Linked DNA regions of Diceros bicornis minor. Each later gene encodes a partner of the first gene's protein in a complex. Links are inferred from orthologs where the notes say so. Each region holds a gene or a part of one and is shown on either strand. Other genes may lie near its edges.

The links. The genes of interacting proteins can lie anywhere in the genome.
Region 2: CDC45 (region 1) and MCM5 share a complex: the UniProt entries of both Homo sapiens proteins name them as parts of the CMG helicase complex. The link is inferred for Diceros bicornis minor from reciprocal best matches to the Homo sapiens genes CDC45 and MCM5.
Region 3: the proteins of CDC45 (region 1) and GINS1 are in contact, whole or in part, in a cryo-EM structure (PDB 6XTY), measured with the Homo sapiens proteins. The link is inferred for Diceros bicornis minor from reciprocal best matches to the Homo sapiens genes CDC45 and GINS1. Residues at the interface, in NP_003495.1 of Homo sapiens: Arg18, Gln37, Phe40, Gln41, His44, Val45, Gln46, Tyr47, Thr48, Leu49, Val50, Pro51, Glu64, His65, Gln68, Phe69, Thr394, Asp395, Ile398, Leu401, Asp402; in NP_066545.3 of Homo sapiens: Leu146, Tyr147, Glu149, Arg151, Glu158, Thr165, Ser166, Val167, Leu168, Lys170, Lys171, Asn172, Ser173, Gln174, His175, Phe176, Leu177, Pro178, Leu195.

What each region holds. Positions count from the first base shown.
Region 1 is NC_080774.1:32,205,799-32,212,876, reverse strand, and holds the start of CDC45 (cell division control protein 45 homolog), read right to left. Parts: upstream 3,008-7,078; 5' UTR 2,835-3,007; coding exon 2,784-2,834; intron 2,659-2,783; coding exon 2,599-2,658; intron 1,743-2,598; coding exon 1,650-1,742; intron 566-1,649; coding exon 428-565; intron 1-427. Other genes in the region: UFD1 (ubiquitin recognition factor in ER-associated degradation protein 1), read left to right, coding at 3,711-3,713, 6,699-6,831. UniProt on the Homo sapiens protein: Required for initiation of chromosomal DNA replication. Core component of CDC45-MCM-GINS (CMG) helicase, the molecular machine that unwinds template DNA during replication, and around which the replisome is built.
Region 2 is NC_080764.1:14,204,291-14,211,432, forward strand, and holds the start of MCM5 (DNA replication licensing factor MCM5), read right to left. Parts: upstream 3,021-7,142; 5' UTR 2,966-3,020; intron 2,740-2,965; 5' UTR 2,732-2,739; coding exon 2,565-2,731; intron 1,108-2,564; coding exon 981-1,107; intron 900-980; coding exon 771-899; intron 1-770. Other genes in the region: HMOX1 (heme oxygenase 1), read right to left, coding at 6,352-6,482. UniProt on the Homo sapiens protein: Acts as a component of the MCM2-7 complex (MCM complex) which is the replicative helicase essential for 'once per cell cycle' DNA replication initiation and elongation in eukaryotic cells.
Region 3 is NC_080758.1:51,383,334-51,390,648, reverse strand, and holds the start of GINS1 (DNA replication complex GINS protein PSF1), read right to left. Parts: upstream 3,021-7,315; 5' UTR 2,915-3,020; coding exon 2,840-2,914; intron 2,698-2,839; exon of another isoform or gene 1,741-2,697; intron 1-1,740. UniProt on the Homo sapiens protein: Required for correct functioning of the GINS complex, a complex that plays an essential role in the initiation of DNA replication, and progression of DNA replication forks.

The DNA.
Region 1 (7,078 bases):
CATTTTAGGCTCACGGTGGCCTCTCACACTGCTCACACTGCTATCTTGCTGGTCCCTACACCACCCCTTGGATGATCAGGGCAGGTCCAAGCCCCATTTATAGAGCAAACTCCTCTGAGATTCCGATATTCAATGAGACTGGGCTGGCCTGAGCTCCAAGGGCAGACTCAATGCAGGCTTCTGGTATCTACACCTCCCAGGTCAAGCAAATTCCACGAATGCATTCTGAGCACCTCCAAGGGTAAAGTGCCATGCTTCTCATCAAAGACAGACAAGTTCTTGTCCTCAGGCTGCTCCAACTCCTATATGGGAGGTGGATACGTGCCTTGCCAAGAACACCAGGTGCAATGTTGTCTGTGGCATTAAAAGGTACAGTCAGATCAATGGGAGAACTTGGGGGAGGCGTGGGCCCCAAAGCCCTAGTTACCTGGGTATCATTGTACACATTCACGACATTGACTGGCCTGTGAGTGTCACATACAAAAAATATGGCGTCTTCATCGGGCTGAAGGATATCCAATAGGTCTACGTTAGCTCCACAGTTTATGAGGATAAAATAACGAAACTGAAAAAAGAAGAGACATTGTGCACTAAGTGCATTGCGGAGGCCCTCTACCTCAGCATACTAGGCCTGAGTCCTTCCGCTGAGAAACATCAAGCCTCCGACACTTGGCAAGGCCCTGACAGCAAGAGGCTCCAAAAATGGCCATGGCCGGCCTGTGTTAAGAGCTTTAACATATACCATATGCTATTTCATGTTCATGATGACACCGTGAGATAGGCTCCACGCTGGCACCACGGCTGTCTCCACTTCGCTGAGGAGCATGCAGAGGGTCAGCATGGCCGAGTCTCATGCACAGGGGCAAGAAGCTGATGTGGAGCAGATCAAAACTTCAAATGCATAACTGGGCCTCTCCAGACCTCAGTCTGCTGTGCTGCCTCTCCATACTAATAGCATTGTACAGGTTTACACTTTCAGCAAATCTTGGGCAGCCTATACTTAATGGGCACCTAAATATTAAATTAAGTCTTTTATTATATCCTATCACTATAGAGAATCCTTTCCTTATAAACACCGAATTGGCACAGGTCCCTTCTGTGATGACATGAGCTCCAGGCAAGGATTTATCTCTGCCAGACAATCCTAGATGTGGCCAGAGACTCCAGGCAGCTGTGGGGCAGTGGGCTCTAAGATGTCCCACATCTCATTACAGCTCCATACAGAGGTGGTAGGAGTACTGGCCTCTACTGTTTAAATTACAAAGGGAGAAGATATGTTCCTAGATTTCTAGTTGGAAACTGGAATACATTTTCTTGGAGAGACAATGTAAAATAATGGTCTAATCTAAAATAATTTTAACTAGGCCATATCAAAAACTAACTGCTAAATTCCAAGCAGCTTAGAAAGAAATGTCAGCAACACAAGTTCAAAGTTAAAGGCTATACGTATTCACTATCTTTCTTTCGCTGTCCATTTTGTCTCCACAACTCACACGGGCATACAGCTCAGTTTTCTCTTCCGTACTGCCTAATATAGTTGATACTTACATATACATGCAACCTACTGTGGAAATAGAAAGAATGCTAAGTGTTGAGAAATTGCAATTGAGTAAAAAAAGCCTAATCATTCTAAAATATATCTCTCATACCTGTTCTTTATGCTCAAGAAATGCAGTTTCAAGTTCTTGCCACCCAGAAACTGGAATCAGCGTATACTGCACGTGGTCACACTGGAACAGGGCCTGGAGAGAGATGATTTTCAAAACCTATCTTAATTAGGGTGTCTGCAATTTCCCTTGAAATGCAGTTAAAAACAAGTGGCTGAGAGACAAATGACATGGATAAAGTAAGGTTAGTGAAATGTTAATAGGAGAAACCAGGTAATGGGGATATGAGTGTTCACTGTTCATTCTTTCAACGTTTCAACGTTGCTGAATTTTTTTAAAAACTACCAAAGGAAAATATTGGGAGAAAAGCTGGTCTTATTTTTATGTCTTCTGAGACCTAAAGTAGTTCCTGACCCAAGTGCCTGACCAAAGTTCTTGTAAACATCGCACCACACTCAAAACTGAACCAATGATCTTGCATCCTGTATTTCCAGTATTGCTTATGACACCACTGTGCACTCAGTTGTCACAGATTCCTCTGTCTCAAATCCCACATTTGAGAAGCCACTATGGGTCTATAGGTCTCTCGAATGCAGCCATTTTTTGCCTAGGTTATTGCAAAAAAACTAACTAGTCTCTGCCTTTTGCCTAATCCTTCTCAAACCTGCCCAATACTCTCCTGCCAGGGAGGTGATCTCTCAGAGTCCCCCTTCCCGGCTTTCAGTTGTCGTTGCTCCGGCCCTCACCGGAGGCCTCACTGGGAGCCTGAGTTCTCACCCCAGAGGGGGTTCTTTACCCCGCTCCTCACCTCCCGCCCGGCTGCCTACCCCACCCTGTTCCCCCCGGACGCTAAGCTTTCACTTCCCGGAATCTAAGCCTTCACTTCCCGCCCCACTCCCTGCCCACCCTGCGCCCCCACCACCCGCCCGTGCCCACCCTGCACCCTCTCCTCTCGCCCCGGCCCCACCCTCCCAGGGTCCGCAGGGCTCACTTGAAGGATCTTGCAAGCGCACAGTGCGTCCACGTCCCAAGCCACGAAGAGAAGAACCCTCTGTCGGGGGAAGAGCGGCGAGCTGAGCGCAGCGACACGAACCCGGGCCCCTCCCGCCCTCCCACGGCCGCTCCCCTTTATCCCTTCCCCCCGACAAGGCTTCAGGGTCCAAGAAAGGGGGTCACCTGGCTCTGGACCACCTCGTAGAACTCCTTACGGAAATCGGACACGAACATGGCCACAGCGGCCGGACGCCCAGAGCTCTCTCTGAGACACGGAGAGCTCCGGCCGCGGTCAAGACTCCCGCCAAATCAGAGCTCTTCCGATTGGCCTAGGGGCCAACCAATAGCTACTTAGTGCCCAGCCTTTCCTCCTTTTTGATTGGAGCATATTTGAGGCGGGCAGTAGCGCTCCGCCATTCCGCTGGAACAGTCCGGCCCTGACCGAAAAAAGCGTCATCAACAGGCGGGACGCAAACAGGGCTGTCCACTTCACCTCTGACTCCCGTTTACCCAGAAACCCGACGCTCGGTGGACATCTTTACTTTGGGAAGAGAAGCCTATAGCCTCCCACTGGGAGCTCCAAGAAAAAGAAACATTTTCGTCATGAATTAAATTAATTTATACATCGAACGGGGGCGTCAGTTTACGATGTCACTAGGCTCTCGGTCTAGTTTGAAGGAGGATGTGTAGCTTATTTCCGCCCGAGTCCTGGATGGCTGCGGCAAAGGCCGGAAGGTCTACATGCATTCTGGGTAGTGTAGTCAGTAAGGAGAATGGGCCCCACTAAACTCCTCTAGAGGGGAGTACTATCAAAATGTAATTTAAAGTAATTATAAAAATTACTCGAGAGTGGAGCACACTTTAGGAAAGGGTATTTTAGTGCTTTTTCCGGGGAAATTTTAGACCCTAGCGCCTCTGCCTGGCTTTTTCTCTTTTGCAGCCGACCCCTGCCCTCGGCGCCTCCCCCCGGGTCTCAGGTCCGGTACTTCCGGTGAGTCTCCCCGCGGTCGGAGCTGAGGCGGCGGCGGCGGCTGTGAGGAGAGCGGTCGGCGGGCTGCCATCGTTACGTTCCCTGGGCGAAGCGGCGGCAGCGAGGCAGAGGTGTCCATCATGGTAAGCGCGGCCAGGCAGGGGCCGGGAGCTGGGGCTGCGGCCGGGAGCTGGGGTTGAGGGCCGAGGCCGGGGCCCGGCGGGGCGGACGTGACGGCTACGGAGATGTCGAGTCACCCTGGCCGGAGTCCGGCCCGTCTGCCCGTCCGGGGCGCCTCGGGCTGGAGCCGAACCCTTCACCGCTAACGGCCTCGGCTCTCTCCGCTTGTGCGGAGCATGGTTCGCATTTCCTCAGTTGGACTTGAACTTCTTGAGGGGAAAAAGGAAGCTTCTAGTTGCAAGTGCTAGACACGTAGCATGTTTCCGTAAACACCAAATTAATTGGAAGGTTGTGAGGGCGAGGAGCAGAATCAGGGGCTCCCAGTGAGAATGCGCGGGGTCATCCCCTTACCCCAGTTCCTCAAGCCCAGTATTTCTTGGTCATGCCTCGAGTGTGATGATGCTTTCGGCTATTTAAGCGATTCAGTAAAGATAACAGTAGTAGCTAATATTTACTGGCCCTTTTTCCATTACGCAGCTTTTTCTTTTAACACCTACAGTTGCTCATTACAACTCATCCCGTTTAATCCTTATGAAGCACTTGGAGGCATGGGTGATCATTATTTTAACCATGAGAAAACTAAGGTTTAAAGAGGTAGATAGTTTACTTGAGGTCACAAAAGTGAGGAGTGGAAATTTGAAGCCAAGTCTATCTGGCTGCAAAGCTCAGGCTCATTACCATTGTACAGCATTGCCTCAGTGTCAGCTGTTTATTTTCATAAAAACAAGGAATGATTATTAGATTTTATCCCAGGTATGTCAGTGTTGAATCACGTTTCTATTCTCAAGTCCATGCACTTAATGGACATTGAATACCTGATAGGTCTTGGTAATATGCTAGGCATTGGGGGTGTAAAGGGAAGTAGAACTTGGGGTTGGGAGCAGCAGAGAGGGGCAGAAGGTCAGGTTCATGGGTAGATTGAAGGCAGATTGTTAGGGATATTAAGTACTTTGTGTGTATTTTACTCTGTCCTGTTGTAAAGAGAAGAAATGGCTTACATGAGTTAGTGTAGTGACAGGGCTCAGGGAGGTGCCTGCTTCTCTCCCTTCTTTCATCTGGAAATCCTGTTTCATTTGTCCTGCTTCTGGCCAAGATTTTGTTGAACAGAGTTATGCTGTTTAAAAAAAGAGAGGGAAAGGTTTGAAAACTGCTATGCTGGAGCTCCAGGGAGTGAAGAGCCATTTGAGATCTTAATCAGGAGCATGCTGTATTTGCATATTAGAAAGATAGCTGATTCAGCTTACTAATTTTGGAATTGCCAGGAAACTACCTTGTCAGTAGATGGCTTGCTCTCTACTTCATTTATATTTGGAATCAAGTCAAGAAATATTTGTCTATTGTGAGGGTTTTTTTTAACTTACGGTAAAAAACACATGGCATAAATTTATCATCTGAAACATTTTTAAATATACAGTTCAGTAGTATTAATTTTATTCATATTGCTGTGTAATGGATCTCCAGAACTTTCTCATCTAACAACAATTTCCCACTTCCCCTCCCCCAGCCCCTGGCAACAACATTCTACTTTCTATCTCTATGAATTTGATGACTCTAGGGACCTCATATAAGTGGAATCATATAGTATTTGTCTTTTTGTAGCTGGCTTATTTCACTTAGCATAATGTCCTCAAGGTTCATCCTCCATGTAGCATGTGACAGGATTTCCTTCATTTTTCAAGCTGAACAATATTCCATTGTATGGATATACCACAATTTGTTTATCCATTCATGCTTCAATGGACACTTAGGTTGTTCCACCTCTTGGCTATTGTAAATAGTGCTGCTGTGAACATGAGTCTACAAATATCTCTTCAAGAGCCTGCTTTCAGTTCTTTTGGATATATACCCTATTGTGCAATTTTGTATTCTTTTTTTTAAACATCAAGGGAATTGCAATACTTTGAGAAGACCCCAGATTGCTGTGTAACGTGTTTTCTAAGCCTCATTGTAATCCACAATGTAAGAGCTGAGATCTTACCTTTTTGATGACACCACATCTTGGCTTTACTTATTAACAGGAGGGAGTACCACAGTGTAGCACATGAGAGCACAATGGAGGGGCACCAGCCCAGACCTTGGGCAGAGCAGGGAAGGTTCCTGGAGCAAGGAAAGGGTGGTCATGAAGCCAGGAGAACGGGAAGGGGTGCAAACACTGGGCGCCTGCTCTTGCTGCTGCCTGGAATGCCATTCCCTGCTTTCTGCCTGGCTCCCTTTCCTGGCATTCAGGTCTCTGCAGAGTCCCTTCCTGACCACCCATCTAAAATAGCATTCCCAGGAGGTCTCTGTCCCTTACCTCTCTTGTCCTCAGAGCTTTCATCACTGCCAGACATGCAGGCATTTTCTTTTGCTTGTTTCTCTCATCTTGAATGTTGGCTCCACCAGGGCAGAGATTGTACCTGTTTTGTTGGTGAGCAGACATCACTAGAGTGATGTTTCCCGAGTGCTTAAGTCAGAGCCTGGCAGATAGTGGGCACTCAATAAATAGAGATTTTTTAAATTAATGAGAAGAGGAAAAGTGTTCCAGGTGGAGGAACCAGCCTGGCGGGGACGTGGCAGGTGTAGGAGATTTTGGGGCCATCAGTAACCGGTCCCTGAGGTGGGTGCAAGGTCTGGCTTGGATCCTGTGGTGTTTGGGGGCTGAAAGAGATTAAGGACAGGCTTGATGTGGCTAGTTTTATATTTTAGTATGTTCACACCATCTGAAAACAGTGGAGACTAAATCGGAGAGATGAGACTTGGCATGGAAGAATGTGTAGAACAGAGAGATTTGAGATTCACTGTGCTGCTGGGAGGTGTTCAGGCAGACTGCTCTGGTCCATCAGGATTTGGGGGCATCTTGTTCTTTGATGATGTTTAGCGGCATTAACTACCCTGACCTGTTTGGGCTTTGACGAGAAGAAATGTACCTTTGTTCTGTTCTAACTCCGGCATTTCTTTCCTCCTCCTAGTTTTCTTTCAACATGTTTGACCACCCGATTCCCCGGGTCTTCCAGAACCGCTTCTCCACACAGTACCGCTGCTTCTCCGTGTCCATGCTTGCGGGGCCTAATGACAGGTCAGATGTGGAGAAAGGAGGGAAGAGTATGTGCTTGTTTTTATTTTGAATAGTAACCTTTCCTGCCCTCAGCCTGCAGTGCTTATAGTCCTCAACAGTCCTTATTTTGCATGTATAACCAGAGCTAGTTACAGTGAAAATGTTGCTTGCCTCAGGCCTGCTGGTGGGGGTGGGGGGAATCCTAATTATGATTAGATTTATGGCTAGTAGCCATTAGGTTCCTCAAAGTAAATTCTAGCAAGTAAATTCTTTTTGAAAGATCATTAGGAAATT
Region 2 (7,142 bases), on another chromosome or scaffold:
CGTCACCGTACCTGAAATCATCTCAATGTCCCGTGTCTGTTTCTCCCACCATAAGCTCCACGGGAACAAGGGCCCGTCTGTTTATAGTGAGGGTCTAGGCCCAGCTCCTGGCGCGTAGCAGCCACTCAGGAAGTATTTGTTGAATAAAAGGGATAACCTAGATGACAGACCGGCTCTGCCCACCTCCCCTGCTTCCTCATCACTCTGTAGCCACACTGGCTGTCCTGCAACGCGACCTCGAACATACCGTGCCCTCCTCACCTCTCAGGCTGTGCACTAGCTGTACCTGCCCCTCGACCTCCCTCGAATGCTCGCTCCCAGCTGTCTGCATGCTGCTCATCCTCATCCTCAGCTCTCCGCTCAGATGTCACCTCCTCGAAGACGCCTTCTCTATCTTTCCAGAGGGGCCCCCACACTTTCTCATCACCCTCTTGATTTCTTCCATCACACTGACAATCATCTGAAATTATCGTGAGTGACGGTGACGGGTTTACTCAGTCTCCCCCAGGGGACAGAAGCTCCGCGAGGACAGGAGCTTGTCCTCTAGTTCACCGTTGTTTCTCCAGGACCCAACTCACTGCCTTGCCCCAGGAGGGGCTCAGGAAACATGTGTCCAGTGAACTAATTTTACAGAGGAGGAAACAGGCTCAGAAAGGTCGAGTGAGCTGCTCGGGCTCACACAGCTGGCACCCAGGTCCACCTACCTCCGAAGGCCCTCCGCACCACGCAGCAGCCCCCTGACCCTCCGCCTGGCCTCTAGGCAGACCCACCTTCAGGCTACGAATGCTGGATGGGGTGGCGTCCGACTTGAGCATGACTTGGATGTCTTGGAGCACCTCCTCGCCAGTGGGCCGGGGCCGGGTCACCTCATCAGCCACCTCCTTGGCAGCTTCCTCCAGCTGGAGAGGAGGAAGGGGACACGCTGTTAGTGACCAGAGCAGGACCAGCCCTGAGGGGCTCAGGGATGGGGTCCCACTCACCAGCTGCAAGTGCTCAGCCGGCTGCTTGTACAAGTAGTCGGCCAGGTCCTCGTCGAAGCTGGCCAGGTCCTCCATCTCCACCTCGATCCAGTACTCCCCCAGATTGTAATGCCGCTTGAGTTCATCCCTGGAGGGGGCAGGTGGCAGGGTGGGGGCGGGGAAGGGTGCGGAGAAGAGGAAACCAACGCTGGCTGAGGTGCACCCGCACCCCAAATCTGCCCACACTGGGGCCGCCACTGCCCCACCACCCCTCTTCCCAAACACACATCGAATTCCAGGTGGTTCCGTTAGTTAACCCTGCAGAGGCTCCCCGCCGCTGACAGAGCCACCCTCCACAGAAAGCTCTGTGGAAGTGGTCCACCAGATAGTCGAGGGATGCTGCATGGCTCAGACAGGGTTCTGCGCACAGGTGAGCTTAGGAAACTCGCACTGCAAACCAGCGCTTTCACTGCAGGACTCGGAGGCTTTAACTCTCTCTTGGAGGTTAACAAGGCACACAGCTCAAACTCGGAGACTGAAGACAGCAGAGACCATGTCTGTCTTGTCAACCACCAGACTCTTTTCACAGAACATCGCATGGGACTACTGTCCCCAAAACACATTTGGGGACCACGACCTACGCAGAACCTGCTCCTCAGCCTCTCTCAGGCCTCATCCCCTTCACCTTATGTCCAGGAGCCCGGCCCGGAGAGCCCCTTGCTATCACAGGCCACCCCGTACCTCTGCCCGTGCACGCAACTGCTCCTATACGGAAAGCCTTCCACACCTGAACTATTCTCTCAGCTCAAGCATCACCTCAAATTTGGGCTCCATGGAAGCCTTCCCTAACTCCTTTTATATTTCTCCTTTGAGGTGACTATCACCTTGTAATTTATTTGCTGGTCTCCATGCCTCGCTCCTACTGATGTATGAGCTTCTTGAGGGCAAACAGAATGAATCTTTCACCTTTGTATCTCAGTGCCCAGCACGGTGCCTGGCACATAGGTGGTCCATGTCAGCTGGTGCGTGAGTAAACAGAGGCAGGAGTGGCTAAGCCCATTTTACTGATGAAGAAACTGAGGCCCAGAGAGACGGTCACTCGGAAGCCACTCAGCTAATAACTGGTCATGCCCAAGCCTGGACCTGCAAACTCATGTTCTCTGCACTTGAAGGGCCTACAAGGATTCGGCATGACGTCACAGGGTGCACAGTGTCCAACCTTGCCCAGCTCATTCAGTGCCTGGAACAGTGCCTGGCCTGGCCTGCAGCAGACGCTCAATCCACTGAAGTTACCAATGGCAAGGAATGAACGAGCAAAGTCGATCATAACTACCACCCACAGGTCGCACCCACAGTGAACCTGAGTTTACAAGGCATCACAGACACTACATGTGAGGACAGCACGAAGCAAATGAGCAGGAAGAAGACCTAGAGGAAGAACCAAAGGGCCCAAGTGGCTCTAGCGGCCCACTCAACAGGTGACTCACTGGCAAGTTAACACCGGGGATAAAATGGACACAACCATAGGCCAGTGGGGTGCGGGGCTCTGCTGAGCGCTCAGGCACTGCTGGGGGCGCACCTCTCCCGGCCCGCGCCAGCCCGCACCTGTATTTGAAGGTGAAGCCGGTGCGGTCGGTGCCCACCCGGTACTGCCGCAGGAACTCCTTGAAGCGCCTCTGCAGCTGCGACTTGCGGGCGTGCCCCTCGTCGGCCGCGGTGTCGCCCCCGAAGCTGTCGCTGTAGAAAATGCCGGGGTCGTCGAAGCCCGACATGACTGCACCTGGCGCGGGGACAGAGCGCTGGAGCGGGCCGGGCGGCGCGGCCTCGCCTCCGCTCGGACGCCGGGGTCCTCGGCTCCGGCGGCTGGGCGACCCCGGCTCCCCGCCGGACCCCACCCACGCCAGCTCTCCCAGGAGAAGCCCCGCCCGCCCCTACCGCGCCCCCACATGCAGAGCCTGTCGACCCCCGCGGGGCCGGCTCCGCGGCCCCCAGGCCCCCGGCCTCACCTCTCCCTTCCCGCACTCCGCGGCCCGGGACAAACCAGCACCCCACACTTCCCCGCCGACTTTCGCGGGAAAAGCGAGACCCCGCCTTCGCCCGCCGCGGCCGCTGCGCCCCCATTGGTTCGCCGGGGCCGCGCGGCCAGTGATTGGGCCGCTCTGAGCCCGCGAGCCCCGCCTCCCGGGCTGGCCGCTGAAGAGGATTGGCTGCGGGGCGCCTGACGTCAGTCCTGGCCCCCTTCCGGGCTCCATTTTGTGCGTCGGCCGGTTTGGCGCGAAAGTTCTGAAAGGGGAGGAAGGGGCAGGGCGGGCGCGAAGATGGCGGCGGGGCGGGCGGACTGGGGTAAAGTAGCCGCTTTCCGAGCCATGGGGTGTAAGAACTCGGGGTTCAGAAGCTATGGGGGTCAGCCCGTGGCTTAGCGGTTAAGTGCGGGCGCTCTGCTACTGGCGGCCCTGGTTCAGACGCTGGGCGCCCACGAGGCACCGCTTCTCCTGAGGCTGCATCCCACTTACAGCAACTAGAAGGATGTGCAGCTATGACATACAACTATCTACTAGGGCTTTGGGGAAAAAAACAGGAAAAAAAGGAGGAGGATTGGCAATAGATTTTAGCTCAAGGCGGGTCGTCCTCAGCAAAAAGAGGAGGATTAGTATGGATGTTAGCTCAGGGCTGATCTTCCTCACAAAAAGAAAAAAGCAGCTATGAGTCCTCAGAGAAGCACGCGCTTGCGCAGTGTGAGCCCCCTGCACCCCCGCCCCGTGTTCTCTTACCGGTACACACTCGCCCAAAAGTTGGAGGTTTATCAGAAAAAAAGTCACCTCGGGTCTCCCTAACACCTCTGGGACCAAAATCGTCCCAAACTTGGGACGCAAGGGATGTTTTCTTAGATCCGAGTGGTGATTTTTTTTATTATTGTAGATTTTGCATTACCTGGTAGTGCTTAAAATTTGTGAAAATTCATGACCAGATCCCCAACCTAGCTTGAAAAGCAAGAAGATTTGGCAAAACTCGATGCATTCTCCAGCTGCAACAGGGACCACATCATCTCCCCTCCCTTCTTTTCCCTTCCCACCCCCCAAAAAACTGGAAAGAACTTTTTACCCTCTTGGTCACATCCACACAAACATAGATTTATGTGTTCAAACTATGTGTATTTTTACAGTGTGTAAAAATTATATCAAATGAATCTGAAACTGGCTTTGCTCATTTTCTTCACGGAAGTCCCCCTGAGCGGAGAGACAGATTTAACACATTCTGTTTAACAAGCTGCTGTGTTTTCCGTAGTAGGAATAGGATATAAATTATTGGGCCATTTTCCTGTTGGTAGAATTCTAGATGGTTTCTCTCGCCCGCCCCCTTCCTTCCTTTCTTTGTCACGACTAACAATGAATATGGATGCCCCATTCACAGAAAGCTCTGGAAACTGGGCCCAGGTGGGGAGAGCTGTGGCTGCTGTCTGAAGCCTGCTCTCTGGCCATCACCTCTTGAAGTGGCCCCAGGACCTGGCCGCACGGTGGAAGCTCTCCGTGAACAGAATTCCAGAGTCCCGTCAAGGGCTCCAGAGTCAGAACCTCCCGGGGTGGGACCCGAATTCCCCGAGTGATTCCGATGCCACATCCGCTGGTGTTTGGTCACCACTGGGCCCTCCCACCAGCTGTGGGAGGCAGGCGTATTGTTCTCTTTGCCAATGAACAAAGACTTGAAGTGACATCCAAGTTTCCAGACTTAGTGACCAAGCCAAGTCTGGGGATCAAGGTCTCCTGACTCCCGGTCCTCGCTTCCTACTGGTATAAGGAAACCCTTTGTCCCCTGCTGTCCCAACTCCACCTTCAGTAAGGGGTTTCACTTTCCCAGAGTGGGAGGCTGCATATTTAGTGTTTCAGTGGCTTGCGTGACTTCATGGAAAAGGCTTGAGTTTTAGGGCCGGACAGACCTGGGTTAAATCCTTCCTGCCCCTCAGAGTGGTAACACCCCTGTCAGGTTTGCTGTGAAGATTAAATGAGATGACAGAGGAGAGGTGACTCTCACAGGACAAGAATCACTTGGCAGGGGCTGGCCCAGTGGTGTAGTGGTTAAGTTCACGCACTCCACTTTGGCAGCCCGGGGGTCCCGGGTTCGGATCCTGGGCACGGACCTACAAACCACTCATCAAGCCATGCTGTGGCGTCGTCCTACATACAAAATAGAGGAAGATGGGCACAGATGCTAGCTCAGGGCCCATCTTCCTCAAAAAAAAAAAAAAAATCACTAGGCAAAATTCACAAAAAACTGATCTCCATTGTTTCACAATAGGAGCTCTTGTGGTATGAGGTTGGCATCTTACCTGCATCTCATTTGCTTCTCACAACAAGCAGGTGAAGTGGGTCTCACTGTGTTCATGCTACAGGTGACAGAACTGAGTCCCAGGGAAGTTAATAACTAACCTCCAAGGCAGAGCTACAATGTGGAGGAACGGGAATTTGAACCCAGGATCTCAAGTCTTTAAGATTTATCGTGCGGGACACACAAATTTTATCCCAGAATCTGCTCATTTCAGCCTCACGGGGCAATCCCATCCTCGGTAAAGCTGAGCCTCACGTCGAGCGGGGTTTGCCACAAAGATTCGCCCACCAACAGCTTAAAGCTCACCCACCAACGTTCTCAGAACAGAGCACAAGGTCCAAAACCAGCTCCTGCCACCAGCACCCTCACCACGTCTCCCCAGCAGGCAGTCAAGAAACAAGCAACGAGAAGGTCTGTTCCCCAAGGGTAACAGAGCCCAAGAAAAACACTCCGAGTTACTATCAGGCAGTATCCTTTATTATTTCACACACAAGTTAGAGACCAAGGCCACAGTGCTGTTAAACACCTCCCTCTGCACCCCCTCCCGCTCCCCCCAAACCCACCCCAACCCTGCTATAAAAACATGAGAACACAACAAAAATCCCCAGTTCAGGCTGAGCCGGGAACAAAAAGTGGCTCCAACAAAAACAAGACAGACACACGAGACACAACATCTTTGCACATTTATGTAAAAACTGCCATGGGCCGCGGGCACAGCGGGCACGGCACATCAGCGAGGAGACCGTGAACCCAGGGCATCTGGAGGTGAGGAGAGCTGCCTCCGTGGGCCACGTCTTCTGGGCTCTGCTGCAGGAACGGGGATGCTGAGGGGCTGGCGGGACCCCTCGGCCCGCTTCAAAAGTTCAGATCATGCAGCTGGCTGCGCTTTTGGCTGGGGAAGCCACCACAGGCTCCTTGCTTTCCAGAGAGAGAGGGACGCAGGGAGAGGGTGGGGGCCCGACAGCCCCCGTGCCCAAGGTAAGGAAGCCAGCCAAGAGATTCTCCCTCTCCAGAAAGAGGCCTTCCGTTGGTGAGAGTTCACGGCTCCCAGGAGGCAGCACGCTGGCATTCACATGGCGTAGAGCCCCACGGCCACCGTCGCCACCAGAAAGCTGAGTGTGAGGACCCACCGGACCAGCGGCACCTGGGAGAGGATGTTGAGAGGGAGCTTCCCCCCGGGGGTCTCCGTGGGAGTAGAGTCTGCAAGAGAAAGGGGGGCAGTGTCAGCAACAGGTGGACAGAAGTGGGGTGTCTAATGTCACAGAAAAACACAGCAGGACAGTCCCCACTCAATGCTAGAACACCAACAGGTAGCCCCCCAGCCACTGCTTGAATACCTCCCACGACAGGGAGCTTACTACTGCTCCAAGCCGTGCACTCCTTCCATTTTCAGCCAGCCCACACTGTGAGCAAGTACCCTCCAGGGGTACCCCAAGGGACCACACTGTGAGAACTGCTGCATTAGGACCAAGTCCCCTCAGCCCACCAGGTGGCCAATCCCATCAGGACTGGCCACATTCCAACGCTCCGGGGCACAATCCCACCAACAGAGGGGTCCATGTGGTCCTGGCACACGTGGGAAAGACACAGGGCCAGGTGGGGTAGGGTGGCACCAGGAGCGAAGGCCTAAAGTAACCCGCCAAGCTGGCGGCTGAGCTTCACTCACCCCTCTCCCCTCCTCTACTCCCAGAGCCACACTCCCGCCCACGGGAGATGGTGCATTTTGTGGAGCACTTTAGTGTTTCTGGAAGTTTCCCAGATATTCTCCCAGCACAGCCACAGCCTCAATAGCTCTCTGAGGCATGTGAGGCAGGGACTCACGTGAGACGAGACTCAGAGGTTATGTGTCTTCCTAGCCTT
Region 3 (7,315 bases), on another chromosome or scaffold:
TTAGAATTCAGTTAAATATTCCTTTTATGAACAAATATTATTTTAAGGAATAGTTGAAACTGTTGTACAATTAATAAATCTGCAGGTATACAAAGGACAAGTGTGAAATAATTTTGCAAAAATATACACAAACTTTCAGATTTAGACTTTTTTTTTTAACCTATAGTAGGAATTGCATCCATTTTGTGCCCCTTGCCTCAGAGGCTTGATCTGAGCCTCTGGGAGCCCAAGATAATTCTCCTAAAAACTCACTTAAACTATTACCAGTTCTGCATATAGTAAGTGGATAATCATTTCAGTTTGCTGAACACAGCATCTAGCCATGAGGGATTCTGGAATGAACCAGAGTCTCTGCTCAAAACCCACTGACTATCATCCCCCTGGGAGGAATGATTCTTGAGAGCCTGTGTGTGTCCTGGGCCTATTAGCCTTCAGATCAATCAAATCAGTTCTCTCTCTGCCCCTGCTCAGCTGTGTCGCAGAGGGGCCAGAGCCTGCAGGCCTGCTGCATCACCTACTGGCAGGTGGGTTTATCAGTGGAAGGTGAATGCAACAAAAGGTGCCCCACCACACTAAGACCTAGAAAAAGGAGTGATTTTACAACTTCTAAGTTCCATCCCTGGCTCCCCAAAAGCAGTAAACCAACACTTATCTTAAAATTTGAGTGAGAAGGCCAGCTGGACTAAGAGTCTTAAGAGCCGGTTCCAAGGCCACCTCAGCCAGCACCTGTTGGAGAAGTCTCTGCCTCTCTGGGCTTGTTTCCTCATGTGCATCATGAACTCCAAAGTGCCTAGTTGTCCGGACCCCAGCGTGGAGCCATATTTTAGAGCCTACATACCTCTGCATTCCAGCATCTCTACTAAACTCCCACTGTTGTCTCCTGACTTTTTAAATGAGGTAACTGTCCTGAAGTTGAAAGAACAACAGACTAGAATCTAGGAAACCTGTGTTCAAGTTGAGGCTCTTCCTCCAATATGCTGTAAGTTCAGACAAGTACCTTAACTTGATCCATAATTTCTGTTGGCTCAGTTTTCTCATCTGTAAAATGACCTAATTGTCAGACTAGGTGCCCTTTAATGTTCAAAACAAAACTCACCCTCCCCCGAACACTCTTCCTCCTCAACTCCAATGTGGTTTACTCAGCCACCTGAGAGAAGCGCCTCCCAAAATCCCGATTCCTCCTCCTCACTGATTACTCACCCCATCTCCACTTCTGTTCTAATAGTTAGAAGTCTTGTTTGTCTCAAGCCCATACAGGCCAGACACCGATTTCAGGGCCCACTGACCAGACACAGTTTGGACCATACACATCTATCATCTGGTCTATTTTAACCACCCACTAACGATCTCCCTGCCTCCATTCTTTCTTCTCTCCAATCCATTCCCCATATTGCTGCTGCTATAGTTATCCTCAAAACATAAAAAATTACCCTCTCACTCCCCTGTCTAAAATCCTCTGCCAGCTTCCAAATGCCTTATGAGTGAATACCAAACTCTCCCAGGCCTGGAACCCACCTCTGTAGTCCCTGCACACACCCTGTCTTTCAGTCACCCTTTGCTATGTGATTGCCCGTCTCTGCACTTGGCTGGGACGCCTCACTCCCTTCTCAGAGTGGTGACCTCATCCTTCTAGGCATGGCTCAAACGCCCCCTCCTGTACCCTAGCTCACACTGGCATTTCTCCTTTGTGCTCCTTTTCTACACCTCTTCGGCATCACCTATCACATTACATTCTATTACCTGTTTTCGTGCCCCACTCCCAGCACAATGTGCCCTGGCATCCACACTGTGGCTGCCCTATGACGGGGGATGTAGTCAAGTATAGAACCTAGAGTTCAGGCTCTGGAGCCAAACTGCCAGGGTTTAAATCTGAGCTTTACTTCTTACTGGCTGTGTCACTTAATCTCCCCAAGCTTCCAACAGATAGCTGGAAAAAAATGGAAAATAAAAGATGGTTTAGACTTCAAAGGGTTACCATGAGAACAAGAGATAATATAGGTTACAGTGATGTATGATAATTAGTCTTTGGGTGGTGACCATGATGCACTCCATACAGAAATGGAAATATAACGAGGTGCACCTGAAATTTACATAATGTTATAAATCAATGTTACTTCAATTAAAAAAAAGAAAAAAAGAGAGATAATGTAGGTCAAGCGCTCAGCACCCTGACTGGGGTAGCAGTAACAGGGAAATAAGAATAATCATAAGAGCAGTAGGAGTAGCAGCAGCAGTGGCAGAAAGAAAATTAATAGCAAGCACTGACTTAGCCGTTCCTGGGTGTCAAGCATTGTTCAGAAAGCCTGACATACACCAACTCATCAGCCCTCAGCATACCAGGAGTTGGGTACTATTCCCATCGGCCCCATTTCTGCAGAGACGAAAACAGCACAGAAAGCTTGAGTAACTCGCCCAAAGCCACACGATGGAGCCAGAATCCCAGCCTGGCTCCACAGGCCTAGCTTTCAATCACCACCCTTTGCTGCCCGAGTGCACGACAAATGCTAGAGCACAGGCAACTACTAATCAATGCTTGGTGCAACAAAGGAACAGCAGCAGAGCTGCACACCGGAGAACACTAAGGGAGACATAGGAGGAAATTCACAATATCGCCGGGTGACATAAACATTAGTGCTTTCTTTTTCCTCCTATACTTTGTCTTGCCACGTTCCAAAACTTCTGTCCCCCGACTTTGGAGCTTACACCACGAGAAAGTAAACCCTCCGGGTAAGGCGCAAGGAAGAACCGCGGGAAGCCGCCCCGCCCCCGGTCCCGCCCCCGGGGCTTCCAGGCCCCGCCAGCCAGCACGCCCATCTTTGTCTGCCCCTGCCCCCCTCACGTTGAAGGCGGGCAGCTGCCCTTCGGGTGTGCGATGCAGCTCGCGGACCAGCTCCATGGCCTTTTCGCAGAACATGGCGGACGCGCCCCGGTCCCGCGGCCTTGTGAGCCGCCCACTCTCACGACAAACGGTCCCCGGGCTCTCGGCCGCCGCTCTCGGCTCCTATCTTTCCCGGTCCCACAGCTCCTGATCCTCGCTTCCCCTCCGCGTTTTGGCGCCAAGCCTGGCCAGCCAATAGGAACGCACTGATGGGCGTCGCGGCCTACGGCGGCGGCAAAGGGACATTTGACTCCACTGCCCAGCTGCTTCAAGACGGGCAGAGTCCTGGGTGGAGGTCCTTTGCTGGGGATGGCCCCCGCGTGTGGGGAGAGCCGGCGGGCCTGGGTCCGCAGGCTGAGTAGACTTCTTCGAGTTCCCAGGAGGGTAACCAGGCAACTCTGCGCGCACCACGGCTCGGGAGAAATGCAGGCCCCGCAACTTCCTTTTTCCATTTGAGTCATTCCTTTTCGTTTAGGTTCCAAGGGTTGCGCACTTTGAGGTTCAGAAGGCAGGCCCGGGAACTTGGTGTGCATTCACGTTATGACGCAGCGTTTCGTTCGTTAGTTTTGCAGTGTGAGTTTTTCGTTTGATAGATAGTAATGGGAAACCAAGTTTTATTGGGTATTTCTTGTGTGGCAGGGACTGGGACTTCTATTTCATTTAATTCTCAGGATTAACCCTAAGGTGGTCATTAAGTCTCTTGGAACGGATTAGGAAACAAGTTATGGGCCGCCCCGTGGCTTAGCGGTTAAGTGCGCGCGCTCTGTCGCTGATGGCCTGGGTTCAGATCCTGGGCGCTCACCAACGCACCGCTTCTCCGGCCATGCTGAGGCCGCGTCCCACATACAGCAACTAGAAGGATGTGCAGCTGTGACATACAACTGTCTACTGGGGCTTTGGGGGAAATAAATAAATAAATAAATAGAAGTCACTTCTTAAAAAAAAAAAAAAGGGAAACAAGTTAGATAATTTGCCCGAGGTCTCACAGCTCATCAAGTGACAGACCCTGTATTTAAGCTTTCAACTCCACAGTACCACCTTTGATTTTAAAAGAAGTCATTTAAAAACATTTGTAAAATAGCTCCAGTCACAAGGTCTATGAAGGGGGAAAAATGCCCCAGATTAACACGCATTCACATAGCCATATACTTGCCTAAATGATTATGGAAATTTTCATAACTATATAGAATCGAAGGTGGGAATTACTGCTATAGAAACAATTCGTTTTATTTGGATATTTTTTAAAAAGCAATATTACTTGGATTCATTCTAGCTAACCCTAGACACTGTGTCCCTCTTCTGCAAATATAGATACAGTAGATGTGTGATCTGAGACGTGAGCATGGGAATGGCCTACAATGCTTCAATCATCCTTAAGTTGAGTGACATTTCATTTTCAGCTCTACGTTAAGAGATAATTTAGCTAAGTGTTTTCATTAAAGATACAATTCTCTAGTGGACTGTGCTACAGTATTGTGATCCAAAACCTTTTTAATTTTGCCATAAACCTTTTTAATTTCAGTCCCCAGGCCTGGGATTCACTTCCTTACCTATCCAATGAGGACAACAGTACCCACTTCTAAGGGGTTGTGATGATTCATTATTCCTGCAGCAAATATTTTCTGAAGTGTCTATTACATCCTGGGCATTGTTCCAGACACTTAAGATGAAGCAGTGAACACAATCCTTACTCTCAGAATCCACGTGCCAGTTTGGGAAAAGCAATACATAGATGCCGATATACTAATGGCAAATATTGGTAAAAAGTGCTACGAAGGAGAATAAGCCAAGGAGGGTGAACAGAGTACTGGTGAAGCCTGAGAGTTTTGAGTTAGTGTTCAGAGAAGGCACAGACCTGAAGTGGGGAGGTAGTGAGCCACGTGGATATGTGGCCACAGCATGGGCAGAGAATTCCAAGCAGCAGGAATGGAAGTGCAGAGGCTGGGAGGAGGGGTGTGGGGGGACGTGTGCAAGCATGGGAGGCAGTGACACTGGAGCAAGGTGAGCATGGGAGAGGCTGGTGGCTGAGACCAGAGCGAGGGCTGGAGGCCATGTAAGGTACAGCCTGTGGGCCTTTACATAAGCTTTTGGTTTTATTTTCAGTGAGATGGGGAGTCAATGAAGTGTTTTGAGCAAACAAGTGACAGGATTGGACCTAGGTTTTTAAAAAGACCTTTGTGGCCGCTGCGTTAAGTACAGGTGAGGCAAAGGAGAAGGCAGGAGACCACTTAGGCTATTAAAATAATCCAAGTGAGAGATGATGGCATCTTGGCCCAGTGTGTGGATGGTGGAGGTGGTAAGAAGTGCTTGGATCCTGGGGATAGATTTTTAAATGAGAACTGACAAAGCTTGGTGATAGATGCTGTGGCATAAGAAGGGAGGAATCAAGGGTGACCCCAGGGTTTGGCCTGAGGAACTCCAAGGGTGGAGTTGCCACTCCTCACGTGGGGAAAGTTGTGGATGGAGCTGGGGGTGGGAGAAGAGTTGGGAGCTCAGCTTTGAACACAATATGGTTAGGCGCCTGTAGGATATCAGAGTAGATGAGTAGACCATTGGATAGAGGAGCCCAGGGTTCAAGGAAGAGGTGTGGACTATTAGAGATACAAATGTGACTGTCCCCAGTGACAGGTGGTATTTAAAGCCTGGATAAGATCACTCAGAAAGTGAGTGTAGACTACGAGTTGAGGACTGTATAGGCAGGGCCTAGTGCCAGCAAGCAACACTCAATACCCTTTACATTTCTCTCTTCTCTCCAGCCCTCCCTTCCTTGCTTTTTTGTTTCTCTATTAAAAAGGATTTTGGGGGCCAGCCCCTTAGAGTAGCAGTTAAGTTCACACACCCTGCTTCCGCGGCCCGGGGTTTCCTGGTCTGGATCCTGGGTGCGGACCTCGGCACCACTCATCAAGCCATGCTGAGGCAGTGTCCCACGTGGACGAGCTACAACTCTACAACTATGCTACACAACTATGCACTGGGGCTTTAGGGAGAAAAAAGAAAAAGAGGAAGATTGGCGACAGATGTTAGCCCAGGGACAATCTTCCAAAAAAAAGAGGATTTTGTGAGTGATAGGTTCAAAATTTTTTTACACTTTAGTTCCTGGATTCCCAATCTCTGGTATGTACTACTACAATGCTTTATAAAGAATTCACCATTTAAATTCCACAAGTGTAGTTGGAGATATCCACACAAATATGAACACTGGTTGTGATATCTGGTATACAATCAATGAAATTCTTCTGCCATTTCAAAGTATCATCACTGTGGGAGATCAAAATTGGCCACCCTGAAATATATCTCTTTACCTTGATTATTTTCTCTGATGGACATTTGACCTCCCCCAAACTGCCTAAAGGAATTTAACTCTGGGTGTAGACAGACTGGCAGGGTTCTTGCTAAACCCATTCTTAACAAAGCTCTGTTTACCAAATATTTACATTTGTAACGGTATCTCCCTCTGTATAGTGGGAAGAGGGGGGATGACTTTATCTGTGAAAACTCTTATCAGGACAGAAGACAACGACTTAAATCTACATACTCGATCACTATAATTCCTGTCTCTCCGGCCACATTCTTTATAGGTGGCCCTGGAAAGCATTGTCTGACGAACACTTACATTTCCCTGTCCATGTAAATTGTCTTATTGCCCTCTGAAATCCCAAAACACCACCTGCCCCAACATCCTCCTTTGTCTTTAGCTGAAGATGGTATTTAAGATGAGAATCTCTGCCACTGTGTTGAGAAATTCAGTTTCCCTGGTTTCTCCCATGTATACATGTTATTAAACTTGGTATTATTTTCTCCTGCTAACCTGTCTTGTTAATTATTTGGCCAGCCAGAAGAACCTTAAGGGAAAGGGTGGAGGGGGATTCTCCCTCTTCCCCAACAACACAAAGCTAATACAAGGAGCTATTGAATTTCTAAAGGCATTTCTAATTGATCTTAAGTTATCACTGGCCAATAGTTTTCAACTGATATAATTGTTGAAATTACAAAAGTTACTTTCGAATAAGTAAGCAAAATCTCTTGGTGGCAGATGGTTTGTAAAAAATAATGGCCAAAGCTATAAAACTAAACATGTGAAACTGCTCTTTTATCTTTTCTGTTTGTAGGATGGGTTGAATTAGTTCTTCATTTGGGCTTCACAAGTGGAAATTTATCTTTGAAATGGATTGTCCCCCTTCTGCTAGTTCTAATTGTTTTACAAAAATCTAAAACCTAATACAGGTTTTTAAAAAGTAACAGCTGTTTTCACATGTCGTCCCAAAAGCTAAAAATAAGTATCTATACATTTGTGTTTCAACAAACCAAAAAGTACCTGAAAATGCATTTTTTTAAGTAAAGTCCTTGTGGGAAAACAGTTATAAGTCATTAGAATTGTGACTTGTTACCTTTTTCTTTTTGTCCTATAAACCTTTGTAAGAACATTTCCAGGGGTTT